Linked DNA regions of Sus scrofa. The protein of the gene in region 3 interacts with the protein of the main gene of each other region in a biochemical or structural test. Links are inferred from orthologs where the notes say so. Each region holds a gene or a part of one and is shown on either strand. Other genes may lie near its edges.

What was found.
Region 1: the proteins of GTF2I (region 3) and USF1 form a complex in vitro, tested with the Homo sapiens proteins (2 studies listed by BioGRID). The link is inferred for Sus scrofa from reciprocal best matches to the Homo sapiens genes GTF2I and USF1.
Region 2: the proteins of GTF2I (region 3) and HDAC3 form a complex in vitro, tested with the Homo sapiens proteins (2 studies listed by BioGRID). The link is inferred for Sus scrofa from reciprocal best matches to the Homo sapiens genes GTF2I and HDAC3.

The regions. Positions count from the first base shown.
Region 1 is NC_010446.5:89,393,651-89,398,856, reverse strand, and holds the start of USF1 (upstream stimulatory factor 1), read right to left. Parts: upstream 3,558-5,206; 5' UTR 3,162-3,557; intron 3,094-3,161; exon of another isoform or gene 2,811-3,093; intron 2,794-2,810; exon of another isoform or gene 2,632-2,793; intron 1,554-2,631; 5' UTR 1,469-1,553; coding exon 1,461-1,468; exon of another isoform or gene 1,446-1,460; intron 1,098-1,445; coding exon 1,048-1,097; intron 891-1,047; coding exon 775-890; intron 474-774; coding exon 372-473; intron 131-371; coding exon 1-130.
Region 2 is NC_010444.4:143,283,865-143,289,114, forward strand, and holds the start of HDAC3 (histone deacetylase 3), read right to left. Parts: upstream 3,558-5,250; 5' UTR 3,470-3,557; coding exon 3,415-3,469; intron 3,307-3,414; coding exon 3,224-3,306; intron 1,923-3,223; coding exon 1,780-1,922; intron 1-1,779. Other genes in the region: RELL2 (RELT-like protein 2), read left to right, coding at 4,940-5,123. UniProt on the Homo sapiens protein: Histone deacetylase that catalyzes the deacetylation of lysine residues on the N-terminal part of the core histones (H2A, H2B, H3 and H4), and some other non-histone substrates.
Region 3 is NC_010445.4:11,704,274-11,709,548, reverse strand, and holds the start of GTF2I (general transcription factor II-I), read right to left. Parts: upstream 3,460-5,275; 5' UTR 3,079-3,459; exon of another isoform or gene 2,669-3,078; intron 1-2,668. UniProt on the Homo sapiens protein: Interacts with the basal transcription machinery by coordinating the formation of a multiprotein complex at the C-FOS promoter, and linking specific signal responsive activator complexes.

The DNA.
Region 1 (5,206 bases), on a different chromosome or scaffold from region 3:
TACTCCCCGATGTGGTACCCCCTGCCCCATCTCCCACTGCAGTGCTGGGGAAGTAAGTATAGTGCGTCTCAGCAGCTGTCCCCTCTGTGTCAACTGCATCATCACTCGTGAACGCACCCTGGATCACGGCCTGGGAAAGGGAGCAGAAGAAAAGAGAGAAGTGACAGTCAGATACTTTCAGTGCATTACTCTACTACTTCTATCCCTAGGGAGGAGGGAAGTAGAAACATCCAGAAAGGGAGAGCCTAGAGCTTTGGGTCAAGGCAGCTATAGCTGCCTCACCATCCCGTGCCACACCCCCATCCTATTGGTTCCCTTCTTCGTCTCCATACTCAGAGCTCCAGTCCCCTCCCCAGTCCATACGCCTGTACCTGGGTCATGGATTGAGTGGCAGGGTAGCCACTGATGGCGCCAGTCCCCTCAGTCTGGCCATCCAGCTGCCCCTCAGACACCTGGATCACCCTGTACATCACCTAGAGGCAAGGAGGAAAAGGGAAGAAGGGGAAGGGAGAACAAGAGAGTAAGTGCCAGGGACAGGGTCCCCAAACAAGAATCCTTCAGAAACATACAGTTAGCCATTCCCTTGCCTTTCCCCATATAGAGGTTTCAGCATAACCCCTACCCCACACCAATCTCTACTCCACCCCCCACCTTCCAGACAGTCCACATCTTCACCTCATCCTCCAATCCAGGTCTCCCCATGTGACAGGTTCAGTTACCTCCCCCATTCCCAATCCCAGATAACACCTGCAGCCACCTGGCCCCCTCCCTTACCTGGCCCCCATTTTCAGTTCGGAAGACGTACTTGACGTTGGGGTCAGGGAAAGTGGCAGCTGACTGGATGCTGGCAATTGCCACACTGGTTGGGTCCTCCCCAGTTGCCACCGCACCTGAATTAAAAGGAAAAGTCTGTGAGTTACTGCCTTTTCCTCTCTGTTCCACCTACGTGTCATTTAGAAGAAGGTTACACAAGTGATGGGCCCATGGGGTGGGGGAGAGGCCCCAGTGGGCTCTTGGTCTTAGCTCAGTTCTGTTTCTCCCACTTACCTTCCTGAATCTGCACTGTCCCCTCTTCCGTTTCAGCTGTTTTCTGCTGCCTGTTTGTGAGGGGACAAAAAAATATGGGAAAAAGTGAATGAAAAGCTCACTGGCCCAATAACATATGGCTCCCAAACTCACTGGCACTCCCAGCAGATGCTCGGTTAGGTCAGAATAACAAGAGCTAGTATTTATTTAGTGCTGAGCTAAGCACTTAACAGGCAATATCTTACTTAGTACTAAGAACAGCACTGTGTGGTAGGTAGCACTGCCTGCATTTTATAAACAGGAAACCAGATCACATAGCTAGGTGATGGAGCTGGGACCTAAATCTAGGTCTGCCTGACTCCAGAATCAGTGCTCTTAGCCATTTTGCATTCTCCCAGGCCTCCCAAACCAGACCCTACCTCTTCTTCACTCACCCCTTCATCTCTCTGTGAGGGGGCACATCCGAGGAACTGGTCCTTCTTTGGAAGTCTTCGTATCTCCTGCCTCACAGGCCTGAGTGCTAAGTCCTGGTAGAAATCAGGAAGTCTAGTGAGTCTAAGAAACTGGAAGTCTCCTCTTTCTAGAACTAGGCTCCATGAAGACACATCCAGGAACATAAACCAATCATCTGCAGGGGACAATCAGCTTTCTCCATTCTGATGCTGAAGACTGTCTACAGTGACTGAAAGAGCAATTATATGAATAGTGTTTCTCGCCCCTCCAATTATCACTCCAACTCCTGATGGAGAAGAGATAATTATACTGAAAGACTAAGAAATAACGTATTTCTGGATGGATTATTATTAAAGCTATCATGATCTGCCATGACATGGAGATTAGAAGGACCATGTTTAGACCACAGCTATCAAAAAACACAAGGTCTTGGATGTTGATGCTTCTTCCCACTTCTCAAGCATATATTGTACATCAAGAAATTCCTGTCCTCAAATCTAAGAAAGGGAAACCTGAACCCACTGGAGAACCTCCAGAACCATAAAAGACCAGATTTGGCCCTTGGGCATCATTCTACTGACAGGGCTCTTGTTTTGGGAGTCCAGATTTACCTCATTCATTAAAGACCCTAAAGCCCAAGTGTATCCTCTTCAAGCCCCTTCTATTTTATTCACTAAGCCTTCCTGTAGAACAACACAGTTGCTAAAATGTTGCCATGACAACTCCAAATCAACCAAGCCTCAGCAAGAAGAGGGAAACTCCAGGTTCAGGGTTTGGAAGAAGAGATAATGGAGGAAGAATCCATCTAAGAGGTGCCTGCCTTACAACCCTGACACTGAAGTTCTCTTGCGGCACAGCGGTAAGGATCCAGCAGCAGTTGTCACTGCAGTGGCCTGGGCTGCTGCTGCGGTGCGGGTTCAACTCCCGTCCTGGGAACTTCCACATGCCCGCCCCCACCCCCTGCTAGGCCAAAAGAAAAAAAAAAAAAAAAAAAAAAAAGACCCTGACACCCAGTGGGGGTAAGTGAGGGTGGCGGCGGCAGGAAAAACAAAGGGCTGAGAAGACAGATGCCTCTAGAAAGAAATAGCAATATAGTACAAAGCAATAAGTAATCCCGACAGGAAAGGGGTAAGATTTTTTTAAGTTCTCTACCTGTAAGGGTCTCCCAAACCTTTATCTTCAGCGGTTAAGTCATGGAAAGCCCATATCCAAAGTGTTCACAAAAAAGAAAAAAAAAGGAACTGAAAATGAAACTGTCCGGAGCAAGTAGCGCTGCAATTAAGATCCGGTCCCTAAGGGGGAAGTAGCACCAGTATTTCGGGACCACCTACCTCTCCATCCTCGAACGTACGGAGGAAGTGCCCCTCTGAAGCTTGCTGCGCTGACAGCAGAAGGAAGCAATGAAACAAGAGGGCAGGGCAGAGGAGGCGTCTCTATGGCCCACAGCTGTCAGCCGGGGCAGCCTCTGAGGACGCCCAGCAACGGGGTCAAGATACTTATTCAAATCTTAGTAGGGCATCCAGAAGCATTTCCTGAGCGTTAGGGGTATGCGACAGGAAAGTGGGATAGGATGTCGTAGCGTGCACGCTCAGGCAAAGGGGGGGGGGGGAGAGCCCTGGCTAAGTCTGGACACAAAGGGAAAATAATCAAGTCCCCAAAGAAGGCTGGCGCCTAGACCTTGCCTGAGAATGCGGCGTCTCCCTGCAGGCCCATCAAGCAGTAGGCGCTTAAGAGCTGAGCGCCGGTCGGGCGCGAGCCCAGGAGCCCGCGCCGTGACCCGTCCAGCCCGGCCCGTCACATCCCGAGACCCCGCTGCTCCGCAGAGGCAGGAATTGAGGCCGGGGGTTCAGCGGATCCCGTGGTCTTGGCCCCGCGGCCCGCGGCTGCCATCGAAGGAGAGCGCGCCCGGGGGCGGGGAGTGAGTTCGGCCCACAAAAGGGGGTAGGAGATAAAGATCAGGCACGGCCCCCTCCCTCCAAACAAAAGCTTCCGCCCCAGGAGTTTCTGGACCTAAAAAACGGAAATAAAATCGAAGCTGCTCTCCCCCGCCTGCCCACCCAGTCTCCAGACTCTCGTCGGGTCCTGCACTCACCAGCCAAGGCCGCCGCAGGCTCCTATTTCCCTGGACCGAGTTCTCCCTCTCTCGACTCGGGTAGCTCCTTGGACAGCTGATCATGCGCACTACCGGCTCACAGCCATGTTGGTGAGGGGCGGAAGTGTCTCCTCCCGTCCGCCCAGCCTACACAGCCTCTGTGCTGCCCCACTTCCGTTCGCTCCATCTTGCCGGGGGCTGAAGGATGCGAGCGTGTTGGAGGTGTTGCTGGGGTGGGGAAGAAGCCACGACCGGGGATCCTTGGAGAATGACACTGAAGTCCTAGTCGCTCTAGCAAGGACGGAAGAAAGACGACTAACTTGGTGCTACTATTTTTCTGCTGGACAGGGCCTTTTTAGCTCCAGGAGAAGGGCGTGAGAGAGGCCAGCTTGGATCAAGCGAGGGACATCGGATGGAGGCGCCATCTTTAACAAGGGCTCTTTGGGAGGCCATCTTGGATCAGTATACCTGTTTGTGGTTGCTTATTAGACATTAGGACATAGCTGGTATAAATAGATCTGGATATACTTATTTGTATTAGGGTTAGAAGGCACCTAAAGACCCTCCAGGGCTTCCAGTTTTTGAGAGGCTCACAGTTTCTGGGAGAGGCATCTTGATTCCCATTCTTTTTCAGTCAAGACCTACCCTCAAGTTGCGGGGGCGGTAATGAGACGAGTTCAGAGCCTGGAGCCAGACAAACTCGGGTCTCAGACCTAACTCTGCCACTTCTTGGCTCTGAAACCTTTGGCAAACCTTTTGACTTAATTTAGTTTCCTCATCTGTGAAATGGATTTACCTGTACCAACCTTTTAGAATTATTAAGTGGATTCAGAAAAATCAGGAGCATAGACTATGTGCACATAGAATACCTAGCCTTTACTGGCACATAATGAGCATTATGCAAATATAAGTTTCTCTTCCGCATTTCCTGACCACCATGAACCCAGCTCTAGTTTCCAGCCGCAGGTCTCTATGGCAACAACTGAGGAAGAGCACCCAAACAATAAAAGCAGAAAAGACAACGAATGGTCAAATATTTGAAAATATGATACCTGTCACTCAAGACTTTAATAAGAGTAATGAAACTCCACACTATTTACGTGTAAAAATACAACTTTTATTATGAGACATTGCCCCTTGGGATTCGTGGCCCCCAGCCTATCCAGACAAGTAGTCCCAGGGTGTAAGTGACATCATTCCCCTTCCCTGAAATAGGAAGTTATTCCGAAGGGAAAAGAAGAGGGCAGAGAGATCTGTACAAGACCTCTCTGTCTTGAGATGCAGGGAGGCAGAAAGTAGGGGAGCTAGGAAGGGAGCCTGTCCCTCCAACAAATACTACAGGGTTCAAAAAGTTTCTTGGACATGTTCCTCCTAAGCTGAGGAGCAGGAGGCGTTTAACAGCCCCAAAGTAGAACAAGGATGGGTAACTCTAGAAGTGTTTGTGTATAATAAGCTCCGATATGGCCCTGACCTCTGCCTTTACCCTGGACTTCCATGAAGAGAAGTTCATTGCCTCAGAGGATGGCAGGAACTTGGCTGGAGTTCCCCCGTCATTCTTCACTTTGAGAAACCTGTAAGTTTTTCTACCTACTCTTTGTTCCCTTTGGCCAATGACCCCACTCTCTGGGAACAGGA
Region 2 (5,250 bases), on a different chromosome or scaffold from region 3:
AGAGTCGGCGTGAGTATTTGGTGGAGGGGCCAGTAAGCCTCGGCGGAGCAGAGCAGGTGCTCCATCAACCGCAGCTGGTGCAGGAAACCACACGATCAACAGGCTGGTTTCTTCCAGAAATAAATTCAAAGGAGAGAAGGAAACATTACAGGTTAAAAGCCTTAAGACACAGCAATCAAACACACATGTGGACCTTGTTTAAATCCTAATTTAAATATATCAACTGCAGAAAAGAAAAAAAAAAAGTTACCAGACAATTGGAGAGATTTAAATACTGATTGCATATATGATGATACTAAGGACTTACTGTTAACTTTTCAGGAGTGTGTGCATTTTTAAAAAGAGTATCATTTGAAAATATAGAGTTGGAGTTCCCGTTGTGGCTCAGTGGTAACAACCCAACTAGTAACCATGAGGTTGCAGGTTCGATCCCTGGCCTCGCTCAGTGGGTTAAGGATCCCGTGTTGCCATGAGCGGTGGTGTAGGTCGCAGATGCGTCTTGGATCCTGCGTTGCTGTGGTTGTGGTAATAGGTCGGCAGCTGTAGCTCCGATTTGACCCCCCAGCCTGGGAACCTCTATGTGCCGAGGGAGCAGCCCTCAAAACAAAAGGAAAGAAAAAGAGTGTACTTATAGATAAAAGGCTGTAACATCTGGGATCTGCTTCAAAAGAATCTAAGGTGAGAGGATATAGATGACGTAAGATTAGCACTTGGTGTGAGTGTCACGGCTGGGTGACGGGTATGTGGGGGGACACTGTACCTTCTACTTTCAGCAATGTTTTCCCTAATAAGTTTAAAAATGGACTGAGTCAGTGGTAGCTATTGTGGTCAGTGTATTTTCGTGGATGAAGGCGAGAACATAAGCAAGGAGGAAGACTTCTCTTCGTTATCCGCTCTCTTCCCACAGGGCCCACCTCTGAGTCTACTTCGTATGATCTAAGCCCAACGTAAACCATATGACAGAAGGTCCTGTCCAATCATGCTCCTGCTTCTTAAAGCACTTTGATGACCTCCCTCTACTCTAGACATAAAAACCCCAAGTCACAGTCGGGCCATTTATTTATTTATTTACTTTGGCTGCACCTGCAGCATGTGGAAGTTCCTGGGCCAGGGATCAAATCCAAGCCACAGCTGCAACCTGTGCCACTGCTGCAGCAACGCTGGATCTTTACCCCACTGGACCACAGCAGGAACTCCAAGGCCGTTTATTTGTTACAGGCCCTGCCTCTCTCTTCAGCCTCAATTCAGATCGCTCTTCGGATTTTGCGGGTGGCTTTTTTTCTGTTCCTCAAATGAGTCACACTCTGTCATACCCCAGGCCCTTCGCACATTGTCCCGACTGCCCTCGACCTTCCTCCCCTTACCCTCCATCCTCCCAGCAACCGTTCACTTAATTACCTCCTGCTTCCTTCCGATCTCAGCTCAACCTTTATGACTTTTTCTAGGAAGCCTCCAGCCCACGCCCAGGCTAGATGGTTCTCCCGTGTTTAAACCCTCATAGCCTGTCGGGTACCTCTCCTTCGGAGGACTCGGCACAAATGCAATACTGAAACTGTGTTGCCGTTGCTGTTTACCACTGCATCCCCAGCACTTAGCACCGGGCCTGGCCCAGGGCGAATGACCAATAAATATTTGTTGAATAAACAAATGAGTAAACGACAATTCACTGACAAGTATCCTCTCCCCTGGCGCGTTCACATCTTCCCACTGCAGCCACAAGGCCCCACTCGAGTATTCTCGCTGAAATGCCTGGCACCAAAGGTCCCAGTCCCCCCTCACCAGTCATCGCCCACGTTGAAGGCATTCAGGCTCTTGGTGAAGCCTTGCATGTTGGTGGGACTGACTCTCTGCAGGAAGTCAATGTAGTCCTCAGAGTGGAAGCGGCACATGTCATGCTGGGAGGCCTGGTACGGCTTGAAGACCTCGGGATGGAAACACAAGGAGAACCCGGGCAGGGTCAGTCCCACTGGTTGGGCTGAGACCCCCACCCCGAACCCAGCCCTGGGGACCATCCAAAACCACACACAGCAGTCCCCTTGCCCCTGAATCCTTGTTATTCTATGAGACAAAGTTCGATGAGGAAGAAAGACTGATTAGCCCGGTCGTTTATAATGATCAAGCCCCCTAAAGACCATGCGGCTCGCCTTTTCCCTCCAACCTCCAGCCCAGCCTTTCCTACCTTCTCGAACCGTAACCCCGTTCAACCTGCCCTGATCCCTGGATCTCTTACTCCTGATTCTCTTCATAGTCATCCCCCCAGAGCTCTGATTCTGTCCTCTCTCTCCTCTGAGTTCTTAATTTTGGAGTCAAATAATATGGAACATATAACAACCCTCTAACTAAAAACAGATGCCCAGGTGCTAAGCCAGAGATTTACCATCTTTTGAGGGACTCACACGCTTCTTTAGAAACCAAACAAAATGTTTTTCTCTCCCAGAAAAGGGCACAAACTGGCAAACAGTTTCAAGTGAGTCTGAGATTCACGCACCAACATCACCTCGGCCTCCTCTACGGCCAAATCACTTGTCAGTGCCTCAGCCTGGTGGGCACCCATTCATACTGTTGACTAATTCCCCTTGCAATGGCATAAGAGCCAAGGCGACATGTTATAATCACATATCACATCTATAACTTCCAAGCTGGGGACAGAGAGCATGTGCATATCCTGGCGATGGAGGGATGGGTAGTGATTAGTAGAACTGGGGGGGGGGGATTCCAGGTTGAAAAGAGAATACCCAGGACATCTCCTACGGTCCCCCCCACACACATACACACTTACACACAGGCTGCAGAGTCCTCTAGCCCCTTGGAGGTGGAGAGAGGTGTGGCAGAGGAAAAGGGGTGCCAGTGGGGGTAAATCTCATATTCAGATACAGTGATCCAGCCCCTTTCCCTTTGCTGAGGCCACAAAACTGCTCTAAGATGCTGGCGAGGGAAACACTTTCTGTATTCAAACCAGCCCCACTCCACCCCAACTCTAGGCCATGACCTGTCTACTTGAGGTCAAAGGCTGGCCGACCTAAAGTGAAAAAGGAACTCCCATTAAGCTCATGGATGCACCCACCAATACTCTGCATACGGGGGTCCTCCTGGTTCCTTCTATCCCGCCCTCCCCACGCTGGAGGTGGGTCGCTCTTGGGGCGTTCAGGGCAGCCAGCCTACCTATCCCTAGGGCCGCAGCTCGCCCCCACCCTCCATCCCCAGCAGAAGCCGCGAGACTCACGATCATCTTCTTATAAAGACCGTAGTGCAGGACCAGACTATGGGTCAAGGCCAAGCGATGGGGCTTCATAGGGTGCCCAGCCCCTGGGGGGTGGGAAAAGAGAGTGGGTCAGTTCCCATCCCTGGAGCTGTAGCCCCGCCCTGGAAACCTCCGCGTTCCGAAACCCCTCGCATACAACCTTGTTCCCTCACCGTAGTGGAAGTTGCCCACGTCGGGGTCGTAGAAATAGGCCACAGTCTTGGCCATGGTGCCAGCGGGACCAGGCCCCGCGCCTCCGCCGCCAGCCTGGCCGCCAGCCCCACCCCCGGTCGTGCGTGCTGCGTAAGCACGCAGCCAGTCTCTGCGGAACCCGGAGGCCCAAGCCCGCCTCCCGTAGGCCACGCCCAGGCCACGCCCCCTGCGGAGTTCCGCCCTCTCTGCTTGGCGGTTCTAGGTTATGGGGTGTTGAGTGTCTGGACTTGGCCGGAGGACCGCGCATTGGTCCTAGGATGCGAAGGCCATTTTCTTCCGGGCGGGGGTCAAATCCTCGGGAAGCCGAACCATTCTGTCCAGCCACCTGTCCCAAACCGGGTGCAAGCCGTGTCACCTCTCTAGGAGGCTCCTGATAACCGGCCGTGCTGTCCCTCTCCCATGCGGAAAGCCAGCTTCCCGCGGCCCGCTGGGAAGATTCTTGGCTACCCAAGCCGGCCGGGGCATCCGAGGGCAGGAGCCAAGCCAGGCGTGCCCGGTTGACCAGTGGAGAGCACCCTCGCTTGACTGACTGTCCTCTTCACCCGGACCCAGACTCGGCGCCGCACACCCCCCCGGAGGAGAAGGGGGGCAGCGCAGTCACGCGCGCACCACACTTGCGCTCACAAGCGCGCAAGGCTCTCGCTCTCCGCCCCGCACACCTGTGCTCCGCCCCCTGGTCCCGGGCGGGCGACGGTCGAAGGCTTGGGAACCCAAGGCTGCTGCGGCGGCGCCCCCCATCTCATTCCCTTCCCAGCGCTGGTATAGTCCGGAGCCTGTCGCCGGTCCCGACCAGCCCGCATCCCTCTCCATCCTTCCCTCCCCCCGCCTGCCGCGGCACCGGTATCTGCAGCCGCAGCCCGGAGCCCTTGAAGCGGCGAAGGGGGGAGGGGAAGGAAGCAAGGGATGAGCGCCGGGAGGGCGTCGGGGGCCCCGAGCCGGACTAGGACGCCCCTGGAGCCGGAACCCGAGCCGGAGCCGGAGCCAGAACCAAATCACCGGTACCGGGTGGGCCAGGTGGTCAGGATGGGGAGAACCGAAAGGCGGGAGGGGGTGTGTGTGCGATAGTACAGTCAGGGGAGTGAGCTGCGGAGGCCTGGCTCAGGCCGGCGCAGAGGTGTGGACGCTGACTCAGGCAGGGATCCCTGCGCCGGCCGCCTGAGAATTCCGTCCCATCTCGCTCTGCAGTGTCCTTGGGAGGGACGGAAGCGCAGGACAAGATGGAAAGGGGAACGCTCTGGGCGTCGGGAAAGCGGGACCAGGATAGTGGAAGAGGGTTTGCGCAGCCTCCATCTGGCACCCCTCCCTGGCCTGGACCAGCACCCCTGGCCCGGACAGCTCCCTGGTTGGGCAGAGGGTGGGGCCAGACCGCAGAAGCTTGGCTGTCACGGATCCTGAAGATGGCATTCCTATCCCTCCCCCCAACCCCTAGCTGCAGCCCCCTAGCCCCAGGAGGCGCCCTGGCCCGCGCTCGCCCCCCAGGGCCTCATGTCGGAACCACAGCCTGACCTGGAGCCGCCCCAACATGGGCTGTACATGCTCTTCCTGCTTGTGCTGGTCTTCTTTCTCATGGGCCTCGTAGGCTTCATGATCTGCCACGTGCTCAAGAAGAAGGGCTACCGCTGCCGCACCTCGAGGGGCTCGGAGCCTGACGACACCCAGTTGCAGCCCCGTGAGTGAACAGCCTAGACCCTGGCTCAGTCCCTTTTCTCTCTCACCCTTCTCCCCACACCTCTTAACCCAGGCCACATCCCACCCAAACTTTCAAGAGGCCTAGTAACATTTTCTTGAGTCCACGG
Region 3 (5,275 bases):
TTCTTTCAGTCAGTAACAATGATCCAAATAAATGTAGATAACTTTGGAAGAAATATGGTACCAATGACCTTTGGTAGATTGCTATTAATAAAATCCTTGGCAATTATCTTTCAGATAGATTACCTCTAATGCATTTCAGAAAAGTGAAATAGCATTCTCAGAGTACAACTTCCCAAACAATTCTTCAAAAAAGGCTTTCCTTAGGCATACATAAAAAGTATTTAATCAGCATCTGTTAGAGCCAGTAGTTAAGACAATTTCATGTTAATTACACCACAGCAGTTATGAAGAGGATTCCGGTATTTTAAAAATTCATGTTTTCAAAGAAGAATGAAACAATGATAGAACTGAATTAGGTGCGATGCAATGTAAATAGCTAATCACCAGAAAACAGAAAAAGTGAAGTAGCTTTTAGTAGTTTTTCAGTGTTTGATTTATGGATCCTTTAGACAATAATAACCTGGAGCAGGGTCTTTTACATTTTATGTTTGGGATCGTACCATCGATCCGTGGATCATCAAAAAAAAGACATTATTGTATATTAATCCCAGTCCTCCTACCTAAATGAGATTTACTTTCCCCAGAGAGCACTCTAGTACACTAAAAAATGAAAAATCTTTCTCACCGAGACTTGTGCCCCAAGAAAAAGAACCCAAAAGCCTACATTTTAACAAAACAAATCTTTGTAGTCATATTCTTAAGTCAACCAAATCACTGGTACATGGAACTTGGGGGGTTGGGGGAGATGGGGAGCTCCAGGGGATCTGCCTGCCTCCTCCTGGCCCAAATGCCTGGGTTCCAAGCCCAGGCACTACCAACTGTTCTGAGTCCCAGACTTTAGACTCTGTGGTGCAAATAGGATGCTTCAAGCATCTGTGGAAGGAGACAACTGCCTGTGCCATGAATAACATGAATGAAAGAGAGTGAAAAAAGGCCAAAATTATTTAATTTCTAATTGTATTCGTACTTAAATCCATGGCTCTTTTTTAAACTGGAGACATTAAACTTTTAATTTGGTAACCACAGCTAACAAAAATTCTTAACTCTGGATCAGTTTTCCAAGCAATCCACAGTAAGCAATCCAAATTACTTTTGGTTAAGATCTAGTTTTAAAGTAATGAAAAACAAGCACCTAGAATAAACTTCCCTCACTTAATTTCATACCACAGTGAATAGTTCTCAAAGTCCTTGGAGCAGAAGCAGCTGCAGCAGCACCTGGGAACTGGTTAGAAGAGCAAAGTATTCCACCCCATCCCAGGCCTCCAAAATCAGAAGGTCCGGGGTGGGGTCCAGCAACGCTGTTTTAACAAGCCCTCCAGGGGAGGCTGAAGTTTGCTTGGGTTTTGAGAACCACTGGTTTAAGGGTTAACAGTCAGAATGCCTAAATTCAAACCTTGGAGTAATGGTTTACTTGCTGGGTAACCAAGAGGTCACTAGGCTTATTCCTCACCTACAGAATGGAGTTACAGCGTTATGACTATCAAATAAGAAAAACATACTTTCTTAAAAGCGATGTCAGGCACATAACTCAATCGTTTGCCATCGCTAACATAAGCAAAGCACTCTGGCGATGGCAGACTGGAAGGGGGAGAAGGACAAAGGCGGAAAAGGCTTAATTAATCCCGACCCCTCCAGGAGTGTGTGACTAGATCAGCACGTGCACACAAGCAGAACCAAACACAATCCAAGAGAAAATAAAGAGGCCCGCCCAAGGGAGGCAAACAAGTTGACTGTAAGAAGCAACGAATTGTGACCCAACATTAAGAGAGGCTTTAAAGAAGTGATTGCATATAAGCGAGAAAGACATCCACAGCCTCAAGAGAAGAAAAACTCATTCCATCCTACAGGTGTGCGCTAAGATTCCCAAGAGGCAGGCGAAACTAAAGTGCAAGGCAGTAGAAATGCAGCGGATGGAAAACAGACAAAGCAAAAATATTCAGTAAGAAATAAAATCGGCCAAGCCAAATCCTAGCGCTGGGCGCGGGGGCGGGCAGAGGACCGACACCACCCGGCCTCCCCAGGGCACCGCAAAGCACACTCTCATTTGCAAACTAACTTCCCCTTTCCTGAACACACCGAGACTACTTTTAGGCACAGTGGCCCATCAAGCCATTGTCTGCAGCAAAGTTGAATGCCTGGAGGTGAAAAGTCTGCCCTGAGCCCCGCATTCAGAAGAGTGAGCACTAACTCCAACTGGACCCAACAACGGAACACTTTCAGATTCAAATTAGCCCAAAACTGTAAAGTTAAAAAGAAAAAAAAAAAAAAAACCTCGACTCTTTAAAAGACAAAAACTGAATAAGCACAAGTGGAGGAGCAGGAGGAAGGGGAAAGAGGGCAGTGTTTTGTCTTCCCCTGAACCCCCGTCTGGGTGCTGGCCAAACCCAGATGGCTTATTTTCATGGCCTGCAGGCTGAGGTTTTCCTTCCGGTCATTGTGTTTATTTCCCCCAAAGAGCAGGCCCCGCGGGGCAGGCGCGCCGGCCGGGCCGGGACAAAGCCCACTCCCGGCTCCACCTGGGCGCGGGCAGGGCAGCGGCGGGGAGGGGCGGCAGCGGGGAGCAGCGGCGTTCCACGGCCCGCCCGCCGGCCGCAGTTACCAGGCAGCGCGGCACCGCCCCCACCGCCCGCCGGCCAATCCGGCGCGTCTGCTGCCCAGGCGCACGAGCCCCGGAGACACCAGGCCGAGCGCGACCCCACGGCTCGGGCCTGGCACCGCGCGCGCACCCGCACCGCCTGAGCCGGCCAATCAGGGGCCGGGCATGCGCAGCCCTCAGGCTCGCTCGCGCGCGGGCCTCACGCGTGAGGACCCCCCCCCAAGCCGAGCCGGCGCGCGCACCCCTCCCCCACGCGCCCAGGCGCGCGCGTGCAACTGTCGTCCCCCGCGACCGCGTCTGCTCCTGCCCCACCCCCAACGCCGACGGGTTGGGGGTGGGGGGGGCCAGTGGCCCCAACACCGGCGCCGGCAATGCCCAGACCCCTGTCGGTGCAGGCCCTGGAGGGGGCGAGTCTCAAATAAAGGCTCTGCTCGCGATGGCAACCAGGGCGGGGAACTGGGGATGAGGCGACAGGGACTCACCCGAGTGCAGCCGCCTCCAGGCAGCGCCGGGGTCAGGGGTGCCGAAGGGAAGCGAGCGTGGGCCGCGCGCAAACTGCGACCGCAGCGGAGCAGCCTCGGGCTGAGACGGGCTAGCGAGCGGGCAGGAGGTGAGAGGGCGAGGGGCCCAAGCGTCTCGGTCGAGCTCCTGTCACCGCCGCATGGCCGCCCGGGCAGGGCCTCGCTCAGCTCCTAGATCCGCTCACAGGGGACTGAGGGAGAGGCCGGGGTAACCGCGGCAGACGGGCGGCCACGGTTAGAGAGCGCGTGCGGGGAAGCGGGGGGGCGATCGGTGGCCCCTTTTCTCTGCTCTCCCAGCTCCTCTCTCACCCTCCTCCTCCTCTTTTTTTTTTTTTTTTTTTTTTTTTGTTCCTCGAAGGCGCGCTGCGCGTGCGCACCCGCAGTGCCGCCCAGCGGGAGTTGTAGTCCCTGATTCGTCCCCACCAACGCGACGGCGGGAGCGCTGGACTACGAATCCCAGGAAGCCTCGCGCCGGCAAGCCCGGAGCCGGAGGACGCGGCGAGCGCGGCGCCCGGCCCTCTCGGGCAAGGACTGTCAATGGAGGCGCGGGTGGTGGGAGCGAGAACATGGCTGCACCTGGGGCCTGCGCGGCCGCCCGAGTGGGGGAGGGGAGCTGGGGCGCAGGGGTGAAAATCCAGGCCGCGGGGAGCTTCATCCTGTTTGCTGACGCGCTCCAGCCGGCCTCAGCCACCGTTCAAGGCTCGCACTCACTCTTGCCCCCGAGATTCCCTGCAAATTGAGAGGTCGGAACACTGCAAAGGCCGGGGCTCCCCAGGCCGGCATGCCTCCTCCCAGGCTCAGCCAAGGGACTTCTCCGCCCTGCACCACCCTCCAGGACACAAAGAACTGTTAGTTTTGAAAGCTTGCCTCAAAAGGGGCTATTGCCCCAACTTTGGACGGGCGAGGGAAGAGCACCCTTCTGTTTTTGTTTACCCCACCCTTAGGCTTTGCTCACTTTTTCTTAACATTTAGAAGGGAAGTTAAGGAGGAAAAGCCAAGGAGGGGAGCAGAAAACGTGATTTGCAGCCCGTTGTGTTCTGTCAACCGCTAAGCCGTCCCCTCCCCCCGGTAATTTTTTTGCATCTCAACTTTGATTAGCTCGTGAATTTCGAAAATGGTGAGACGCTAGTGTACGCTCAAGTTAGAAGTTTTTAAAACTCGGGCCCAGAGATTTTAGATGTTTCTTTAAAGCACAAAATCGAGTGATTTTGCGATGTTTTTTTCCCACCGGCGATCTGGGCCACGCCGGCCATCATCCCCCTCCCCCTCCTCCTCGGTAGGTGGCGACCACGGCGCTTTCTCCAGCCTTTGTCGCTCGCGAGAAAACTTTCCGAGCTGCAAGTCTTTTGATGTAGGTCCAAAACCTTTCCTTTGAACTTGGGTTCGCGGATTGGCGTTCCCCGTCTTCTTTCTTCCGTAGACCGCACCCTTTCCTCATCTAGAAGTTCCACGGTGGGTTTCTTTAAAATAGATGGAGAATTTAAAGATCTCTCCGAAGCAATCTGATGACAGAAGACTCGCGTACGTTTTTTCCGATTTCCCCTGCAATCTTCTACGGTCATGTCGTTTCTTCCCTAATTTGATTATGACTCTCCTTTGTCAAGTCTCCACAGCGTTAATTCAGTTTTTCATAAGAGCAGTTTTCTTTTTGCACTCATATTTCATTATCATTTCGGAATATTCGATTAAATTCTGTCTTCCCATTACCAAGCACAACTGACATATTAGGAACAAACGTTAACTCTTGAGAAGCCTACAACTTAGCTGGTGAGATCAGCCATCCTACCAGCTGCAAACATTCAGGTGCTGTGAACATTAGTGAGTATGTTTTATGGAGGAACTGGAGTCTTGACCCGTTTCTTGGGAAGACTGGGGAGGTTGGGATGCACTGGCCGTGAAGGAGAAACAGAATTGCCTTGGAAGGATACTGGAAAGTGAAGGCAAAAGTTCACTTAGGGTTACCCTGGTCGTCATCAAAACCTTAATTTAGGAGATAGTCCCTTCCTTTTTTATGAATTCGGCAGGTCGGTATGAAATTCCGCTGCTGCTTCATGAACAACTGCAGCCTCCAAGTTTGAAGCACTTCCTAAAATGTACCACATCCTAAAGCTGTTCCTAAAACTTTAGCTGGCTTGGAACTGCTTCCAGACAGAAAGCT